Linked DNA regions of Rattus norvegicus. Each later gene encodes a partner of the first gene's protein in a complex. Links are inferred from orthologs where the notes say so. Each region holds a gene or a part of one and is shown in the gene's direction. Other genes may lie near its edges. The genes, in order: Fn1 and Col1a1.

What was found.
Region 2: the proteins of Fn1 (region 1) and Col1a1 are in contact, whole or in part, in a crystal structure (PDB 3GXE), measured with the Homo sapiens proteins. The link is inferred for Rattus norvegicus from reciprocal best matches to the Homo sapiens genes FN1 and COL1A1. Residues at the interface, in NP_997647.2 of Homo sapiens: Asp516, Gln517, Lys533, His535, Glu537, His539, Leu541, Gly549, Arg550, Gly551, Arg552, Trp553, Lys554, Cys555, Pro557, Gln560, Phe569; in NP_000079.2 of Homo sapiens: Leu261, Pro262, Gly263, Met264, Lys265, Gly266, His267, Arg268.

What each region holds. Positions count from the first base shown.
Region 1 is NC_086027.1:80,711,240-80,715,564, reverse strand, and holds the start of Fn1 (fibronectin precursor), read left to right. Parts: upstream 1-1,427; 5' UTR 1,428-1,636; coding exon 1,637-1,787; intron 1,788-2,907; coding exon 2,908-3,036; intron 3,037-3,799; coding exon 3,800-3,937; intron 3,938-4,325. UniProt on the Homo sapiens protein: Fibronectins bind cell surfaces and various compounds including collagen, fibrin, heparin, DNA, and actin. Fibronectins are involved in cell adhesion, cell motility, opsonization, wound healing, and maintenance of cell shape.
Region 2 is NC_086028.1:80,378,881-80,383,448, forward strand, and holds the start of Col1a1 (collagen alpha-1(I) chain precursor), read left to right. Parts: upstream 1-1,577; 5' UTR 1,578-1,688; coding exon 1,689-1,764; intron 1,765-3,228; coding exon 3,229-3,423; intron 3,424-3,544; coding exon 3,545-3,576; intron 3,577-3,695; coding exon 3,696-3,731; intron 3,732-3,823; coding exon 3,824-3,925; intron 3,926-4,568. UniProt on the Homo sapiens protein: Type I collagen is a member of group I collagen (fibrillar forming collagen).

The sequences.
Region 1 (4,325 bases):
GCTTTGAAAATAGTGGGCTTCTCATTTTGAAGCACAGCAACTGGGCTGTGTGTGTCTGAAAGGTAAAAAAAAAAGAAAAAAAAAAAAAGAAAAAAAAAAAAAAAGACCAACGTGTTAGAGCTGTGAGCTTCAGGGGGACGTCTCCTATCCCCGCTCCAATCTCAGTAGTGTAGAAAGTCCGGAGAATTTCCGGAGACTTTTCAGTGGAACTTTATACATTCTTGGAGCAGATAACAATTGAAATCTAAAAAATCTGGCGGCGAGGGAGGGGGTGGATAGTGGAATTCTGCCATGACTGTGAAATCTGAAAAAAAATAAACGCCCAGATACATGCAAGGGAATTCCGGGGAAGGCTGGAGGAAGGCAAGACATAGTCTTTGTACCCATCCCCACCCCAGCTCTCTTTCAGAGGCCACCTAGGTCTCTGCTTTGAGTGCAAATGGCCCAGTGAACGTGGCGTGGACCTAAAGCTACCCGCTCTCCCCAACTTCATCAGCCAGTTCAAATTTCCCCCCTCTCAAGCTGTTCACCACAGGCCTTCTAAAAGAAACGGGCACCCCAATCCCAGGAAAGGAAAACTTTGTTTCATGACTTAGAAAGGAAACTTTCTGTTGCTTCATCTTTGCAGAGAGACTTGGTCTTGTGAGTTTGCCCGGAATCTTCAGGGCGCCGTGCACAACCCCGGGCTGTAGAAGCTCAGGGAAGGGGTCACCTTTGACACGCGCTCACCCTCTCCGGGGCTCTCCCTCGAAACCAAGCAGGTACTGCATGGAGAAACCGGGGTCTAAGCCTACCTAACACCGAATAGGCGGCGCCCGGGACCCAGGAAAAGCACCAGGAAGAGCCGCCCTGCCCCGGGGCTGCAAAAGTGAAGTCTGGATTCCTACAGGGACAAGGTAGTGGCCACTTAACGACTTTTTCCCTTCCCACAAAATACACCCCGGTGAGCACAGACTTTTCTCAGAGGTGACGCAATGTTCTCAAACACCACCACGGTCACCAATTTAAAAAAAAAAAAAAAAAGGAAAGAGACGAGGGGGTAAACCTGTCCCCTACCCCCAGGCTTCAGTCGGCTCCAGCCCCTCCCTCCCTTTCCTCCGAGTCTACTTCACTTTACAGCCGTTTCCCATCCCTACCCCCAATCCTCCTCCCAAAAGTTTGACGACCGCAAAGGAAACCAAAGGGGGGGGGGAAGTTCTCCAGTCCCAGACCTGGCGGGAGATCAGCATCTCTTTTGTTCGGGGCGAACCCACCGTACCCCGTGACGTCACCCGGACTCCGGGCCAATCGGCGCGCGGTCGGCCGCGGCTGCGGCGGCAGGAGGGGCGGGGGGAGTCGGACGGGACCCTCCTCCCCGGCGCGCAGGGCCTCGTGGGGGGGCGGGAAGGGACTGTCCCATATAAGCCTCTGCTCTTGGGGCTCAGCCGCTCGCACCCGCTGCACTGCACAGGGGAAGAAAAGGAGCCCAGGGTGTGAGCCGGGCCAGCGGCCACAACTTCTGGTCCTCTCCCGTGTCCTCCTTCCATCTTCTTACAGGCGTCCCCACCTCAGGACTTTTCCTGCAGGCTGCGAGGGGAACCACACTTCGTGGCCACTAGCCTCCTGGAGAGGGCGACTCTCCTCCCATCCACTCAAGATGCTCAGGGGTCCGGGACCCGGGCGGCTGCTGCTGCTAGCAGTCCTGTGCCTGGGGACATCGGTGCGCTGCACCGAAACCGGGAAGAGCAAGAGGCAGGCTCAGCAAATCGTGCAGCCTCCGTCCCCGGTGGCTGTCAGTCAGAGCAAGCGTGAGTACCGACAGTCTGGCTGAAACCGGCCGGCACCAGGGATGGGTTGGTCCTCGGCTCCCGCAGAAGTTGTGGCTAAAGTTTTGCGCGCGTGCGTGGCTGTGCGAACGTATGTGAGTGCGCGCTTTATTGAAGGAAACCAGCTGTGGACACAAAAGGGCTTATGTTTGAGCAGGCTGGTTGCGGGTACAGTGGAGGCAGGGACCATCTGTCCTTCCCGTCAAGTGCGCTAACAAATTCCACACCTTCAGTTCGCCCTTCCGGGAACCCAAACTTGTGAAAGAGAAAAGAAACATGAACTTAAAAATTTTACATCTGAGATTAGTGTAGTTCCCCGATCCTTATTTTCCTTATTAGTAAATAGTTGGTTAAATATTTAATAAATGGGGAGGAAGAAAAGTATCTAAATAGGTAGTTTCTTACCAACTGGAAAGAGATGTTGTTAGCTCAGTGCTTTGGGGGATACCTCAGGGCTCCCCCAAAAGGATTCTTCATTAAGAGCAGGGATATGCGTTTCTCTTCCAGATTTTCAGAGACCCACTCTTCCTTTAAAAGTTCTCCCTCCTTTTTTTTTTTTTTTCTCTCTTTTTCTTTTGGAGATGATCTCACACTGTAGCCAAAGCTAGCCTGATGTTCTCCAGGCTTGTGTTCAACTTGGAGCAATTCTCTTGCCTCAGCTTCTACAGAGCTGGGGTTTACTGGCATAGTCACCAGGACACCCAACTTAAAAGTTTCCTTTCTTGTCTTATTTGATGTTGTTGCTGTTAAGATTGAAGCCTTTCATGATTTAAAAGTATTTTCTACTTTTTTGCCTCTCAGAATGTTTCCATTCTGCTGATGTAGTTCCCCTGACCAGATGGACATGACGTCATTGTATAACTTTTAACCATGTTAAAAGATAAGAAAAAAAAAAAAAAACCCTAAACGTCCATCTGCATAGACAATGCTTAAATCTTTGACTAGCTAGCTCCCACATCAAAATTTTAGGGAAATATTGCTTTTTAAGAGTTTTTGTGTTTGTTCAGGCTCACCAAGTCAGTTGGCAAAATTCAGTAACTTTGTAGGGGAAAAAGGGGAGGAGGGATGAAGCTGTCATAACTTTCCCCTCAATTCTTCACAGCTGGCTGTTTTGACAACGGGAAGCATTATCAGATAAATCAGCAGTGGGAACGGACCTACCTAGGCAACGCCCTGGTTTGTACCTGCTATGGAGGAAGCAGAGGTTTTAACTGCGAGAGCAAGCCTGAACGTAAGTGGAAGGCAGTCTGGTCCCTGGCAGAAATGATGCTTTAAATAAAAACACATTTGCTCTTTCCTCCACCCTGCTAAGAATCACTTGTAATTCTCTCTTAGTAAAACTTCTTCTCCTGGCTTTTCACGTGCTCTAAAACAAATGCAATCCAAATTAGTTTCCAAAGCCTTCATTTTTATTCTTTTGATTGGAAAATGAAAGGTTTTGCATGTCTCCCTTCAAAAAGAAAACTTATAAAAGTTTGCTTGTAAAGGCTTAATTTATTAGAAAGTTATCTCAGATCTCTGGCTCCCGATTATGGACCAGAAACTGCTTTGAAGCACTGAGTTGTAAAGTGATTTGTTAGCTGCAGTTTCTGAGTCTTCGAAGCCCCTTCATCTGCTTCTTGTGAATTACAGCAGGCCCTTCCGAGCGGCTGCTGAGGGAGGATACAGGGGAAATATTTCAGTAGGGCTGACAAAAGCCAACGCCTGCTGGGAAGAAGGCAACCTTCAAACTGTGTCCCTGTGACCCTTGAATTGATTTCCCTGGCTTGAGACTGGAATTCCAAATCTTTCCTTTGCAACTCAGCTGGTCTCAGGGTGTGGCTTTTTCCTGAGAATTCTTTACATTATAAATAAGAGAGCAGTGGAGAGCTTGCCGAAGGTCAAGAGCTCTGGTTCTGTTAAAGCCTAACTTGAAATTTGTCTCACTTTAGTTTCAATGTAGCGGTGTATGTATGTGAAACTCACACGGGACTTTTTTTTTTTCCTTTCCACAGCTGAAGAGACCTGTTTTGACAAATACACTGGAAACACTTACAAAGTGGGTGACACTTATGAGCGCCCTAAAGATTCCATGATCTGGGACTGTACCTGCATTGGGGCTGGGCGAGGCAGGATCAGCTGTACCATTGCAAGTAAGAAAGGCCTTGGGTGATATGATGATGGAGGTCACATATACACGTCGCTTTCTCTGTCCTGTCCCTGCCTCCATCTGTTATCCTTGTGACCAAACCCCATGTGGTCACTCAGCTAGCTCTTGTACTTCTGAATGATGGATCTAAACAGAGATGGAACTCCTGCTCCTCTGTGTGTGTGTGTGTGTGTGCGCGTGTATGTGTGTGTTTAGGTGTGTGTTTAGGTGTGTGTGTGTGTGTAGGTGTGTAGGTGTGTGTGTGTGTGTGTGTGTGATGTGCCAGTGGAAGATCTCTTGGTTCTTTTCAATAAGATATGCACAAGGGATGTACCTATTTTAAATTACTTGGTCATCTTTAAGCGAGATGATTGATCAACTATCATCCTCAG
Region 2 (4,568 bases), on another chromosome or scaffold:
TTTTTTCTTTGCCTTCGTTGCACAAAACTAGCTCAGGGAGGGCGTGAAGGGGGGGGGAGCAATGGAATCTTGGATGGTTTGGAGGAGGCGGGACTCCTTGCTTCCACGTTTACAGCTCTGAAGACGGCTGTGGGGGAAGTGATACAGGACGTCTATGGGCCCTGAGAGGAGACCCCTATGCTTCCCTGCCACCCACACAGTTTAACAAAATGAAGTTCCTAAGTAGAGTGGGGGTCAGGCAGAGCACCTTTGCAGGGTTGATGGGAGCCCAGGGAAAGAAAGGACACTGTCTTTTAGGGACACATTTAAATATAAGCCACTTTTCTTGGGGGACGACAAATGACCCTTTCCTGATTGCAGAGGTGGGGAACAATGGCTGAGATTTTCAGCAAAGAAGCGAGGACATGAGGAGTAGCCTTCAAATAAAGTCACTCAGCTACCAAAAACAAGTTTCTGCCACACACCGAGTTCACCTAGGTGTCCCCAGACCAGATCCAAGTACAGTAAGGAAAGCAGGTTCTCTACAGAGAGAACACGGCTCTATGGCCAATGCCTTCTACCTGCTCTTTCTGGATTGATACTGCTACCTAAGAGGGCCTCTAACCAATTCCTGGCTGTAGCCACAGCTGACACAAGACCTTTTTCTAAGACATCCCTGGTCACAGGCCTCCTGTAGCAAATTCCAGCCCTGGGATGGAGGTGGTCAGGAAAGAGTTTATACAAGAAGACCCAGGCCACAGCTTTAAGGACTCAGAAACCCCCCTGCCCACACGGCTGCCCATCATAACGCAGAAGGTTTCTTCTGGAAGGACAAGGATGTCAAACTTCTCCCCAAGCCTAATCCTCAGAGATGTCTCCCTCTGTTACACCTGGGGCTGGAGAAAGGTGGGTCTTTCATGGAGCCACATTCATGGCAGAACAGATAGCCACCCCACTCCTTTCAAACAACCACATATCTGACTCTTAGTATCTGTGAAGAGATGTCTAATTTGTTCCCAAATAGTCCTACCCTGCATACCTGGGCCCACACCATGAGGTATTCTCCTCCCTCTAACAGTCACATCTGCTTAGCTGCCTGGTTCTTCGGATTTGGAGAGATGCTTGCCTAACTTATTCTTCCTTAGGTCTTCCCAAGGATGCCAGAAAGACTATGAGACATGGCCAAGAGGACCTTTTCCCAATTGTGCCTGACACTGAACCCTTTGTAATGTTCCCCAACTCAGATTCCCAATTCTACATCCTTCTGATTTGAGGTCCCAGAAGGAAAGTGCAAGGGGCATCCCCTACCCACAATCAGTATATCGAGGGCCCAGCCACACTCAGTGATAGCACCTCTGGCCCATGTAGATCTGGGGGACAAGGGTGGCAGAATTGCAAAGGGGGGAGGGGGCTGGGTGGACTCCTTTCCCTTCCTTTCCCTCCTCCCCCCTCTTCGTTCCAAATTGGGGGCCGGGCCAGGCAGTTCTGATTGGCTGGGGGCCGGGCTGCTGGCTCCCCCTCTCCAAGAGGCAGGGTTCCTCCCAGCCCTCCTCCATCAGGATGGTATAAAAGGGGCCCAGGCCAGTCGTCGGAGCAGACGGGAGTTTCACCTCCGGACGGAGCAGGAGGCACACGGAGTGAGGCCACGCATGAGCCGAAGCTAACCCCCCACCCCAGCCGCAAAGAGTCTACATGTCTAGGGTCTAGACATGTTCAGCTTTGTGGACCTCCGGCTCCTGCTCCTCTTAGGGGCCACTGCCCTCCTGACGCATGGCCAAGAAGACAGTAAGTTCCAAACTCTGGGGAGGTTATGGTTTCTTGCTATCGCGTTCTGCATAGGGGTCCTAGCAATAAAGACTTAAACGGAAGCGCGGGGTGCTCCAGAGTTAGGAGGGATGAGAAGGTGATGGAGAGGAACTGGGAAGAGAGAGGTCACCCTCGCGAGCAGAGGAGAGTGAGCAGATCTCAGAAGTGGAGCCCTGGTTGAGATGGCACGGCAGGAAATTTCAAGCATCTATCTGTAGCGCGACGGGAAAAGTGGGAATCTGGGCAGGGGTTGGGTCAGAGTACGTCGAAGATCAAATAAGACCTCTGGAATAGAGATTCGAAGCTCAAGATGTAAAAGCAATCAAAAAGGCTGCGGGATGATTCATAAGGAAAGATTGTTTGCCCTCTCTGCAGGCTAGACAGTGTTGCTGGGGCCTCCGGGGTGCTGGGCTCTGGGAGTGGGGTGGGGGGAGGAAGGGACGCACGGAGAGGGCGGGTTGCTGGATGAGAAAGTTTGGCTAAGACTTGACTGGGCGCGGTCCCTGTGCCTCCTGCTGGTCAACCTTGAGCACTACGAGTCCTGGTACAGTACTTTACAGCGCGCGGGCTTAAGAGGGAAAACCTGGGCTATTGCCGGGCCTGGACCCTCATCTCCAGACTAGGAAAATAAAAGCACAGATGGATATGATAGCCTTGGTCTTTGAAAGTGACCCAGGCCAGTAAAATTGGGTCCGCCCCGTGCATTGCTTAGCGTTGCCCGCCACCTAGTGGTTGCTTTGATCCGGTGCTAGAGAGGTGGGCGTGGTTAACTAATCATTGCTATTTGTAGACTTGAGTTCTTTCTTTGGCTAAGGAGTGACCCCAAAGCTCTACTGGCTTTGAAGGAAGGACCGGGAAAGCTTTGATTCCTGGGAGCGGAGAGTTAGGGTGTATCTAACTTTAGGGATATATTTTACTACTCTGGACAAGGCTCCACGGAAGTCACCCTCCTCCATTTTAGCCCCGCCCATTCCGTCCCACCTGCCCAAGGAAAGGAGGTGGGACCAGGGCTGGAATTTCCCTTCTCTCCTCCCACCCCCGCCTCCGGTCTCCCCGCAAACCACGTCCCACAAACCTCCACCTACTTTGTAGGAGCCCTCCTACTCTCCGTCAGGAGGACTTCTATTTCATTTGGTTCCCGCGCGCGTGGGCTGAAGTTGAGTTTGGAAGCAACCCCAGCCTAAAGCTTTGTTTAAATTCCTGGGAACTTGGAAGTTACAGCCCTGGCCAGGCTTCTTGGTGCTGTCACTGAACGCCGTTACAGAGCAGACCTGCATTTAAGGATTTAAGGGAAGAAAATAGGGGTTGGGGGAAAGATGTGGGAAGTGGAAAATCTACGTGCACCTCTTAGACAGGGGAAAGGGTGAGTAAGGCTGGGATCCCTGGTGCATCAGGTAAGGTTTCAGAGCCGCTCATGTCCTGTGTCTCTTCCCATTTGCTCAGTCCCTGAAGTCAGCTGCATACACAATGGCCTAAGGGTCCCTAATGGTGAGACGTGGAAACCTGATGTATGCTTGATCTGTATCTGCCACAATGGCACGGCTGTGTGCGATGGCGTGCTATGCAAAGAAGACTTGGACTGTCCCAACCCCCAAAAACGGGAGGGCGAGTGCTGTCCTTTCTGCCCAGAAGAATATGGTACGGTTCTAGTCCTAGGATTAAGGGAGGTCGGAGTCCCTCCTTTCCCTGTGTCTTGAAAACCTATAACACCCCAGGTACCTTAGCAAATTTACTTCTAACTGCACATTTTTCTCCCCAGTATCACCAGACGCAGAAGTCATAGGAGTCGAGGTAATAGTCTGCCCCCTACTTTTGCCCACCCGTCCATGACTCCCACTGTCCTCCAATAAACTCCAACTTTTTTTTCGTTCTCTAACCGGCCTCTTGTTTCTTCACCCTCAACCCCACAGGGACCCAAGGGAGACCCTGGCCCCCAAGGCCCACGGGTAAGAGCATCTTATTTTAAGTGAGCTGGGAACCTGGAGGGGGTGTGGCTCTGATTTGGGTTCATAACAGCCCCCTCCATTTCTTGGTGCAGGGACCTGTTGGCCCCCCTGGACAAGATGGCATCCCTGGACAGCCTGGACTTCCTGGTCCTCCTGGTCCCCCCGGCCCCCCCGGACCCCCTGGTCTTGGAGGAGTAAGTAGATCTGGGAGACCCCAGACTTATGTGACTCCCCGTTTTGTTTTGTTTTTGTTCATTTGCCTGTTTGTTTTTCTTTGCTTTGGTTTTGTCAGACACAACTTTGTATCTTTAAGTAATCATAAACTTACAGGAAAGTTGCAATGGTACACAGAACTTCTGTTCACCCTTCAAAACACCTGCTTTTTCACTTTCTGGACACACAGCTCTCTCTGTCTCTGTGTATTCCCAACCATTTGAGACATATCGTCAAGAACATGCCCAAAGGGGGTTGGGGATTTGGCTCAGTGGTAGAGCGCTTGCCTAGCAAGCGCAAGGCCCTGGGTTCGGTCCCCAGCTCCGGAAAAAAAAAAAAAGAATAGAAAAAAAAATGTTCCCAGAGGTCTGCCTCTGGTGACATGAGCAAGAACATGCCCATGCCTTATGCTCTGAAGCACATTTCCTAAGAGCAAGTGCATCCTCCTATGGGACCATAGCACCACATTTAATGTTGATCTAACGCTATTGCCTGATGGACAGTCCCACTTTCAGATTTCACCGGTGCCTCCCAAAATGTCCTTTGTAGCATCACCCCCTCCCTGTCCAAGACCACCAATTGCATTCCATTATCTCAGTCCTTTGATTCCCACGAGTGTAGGCT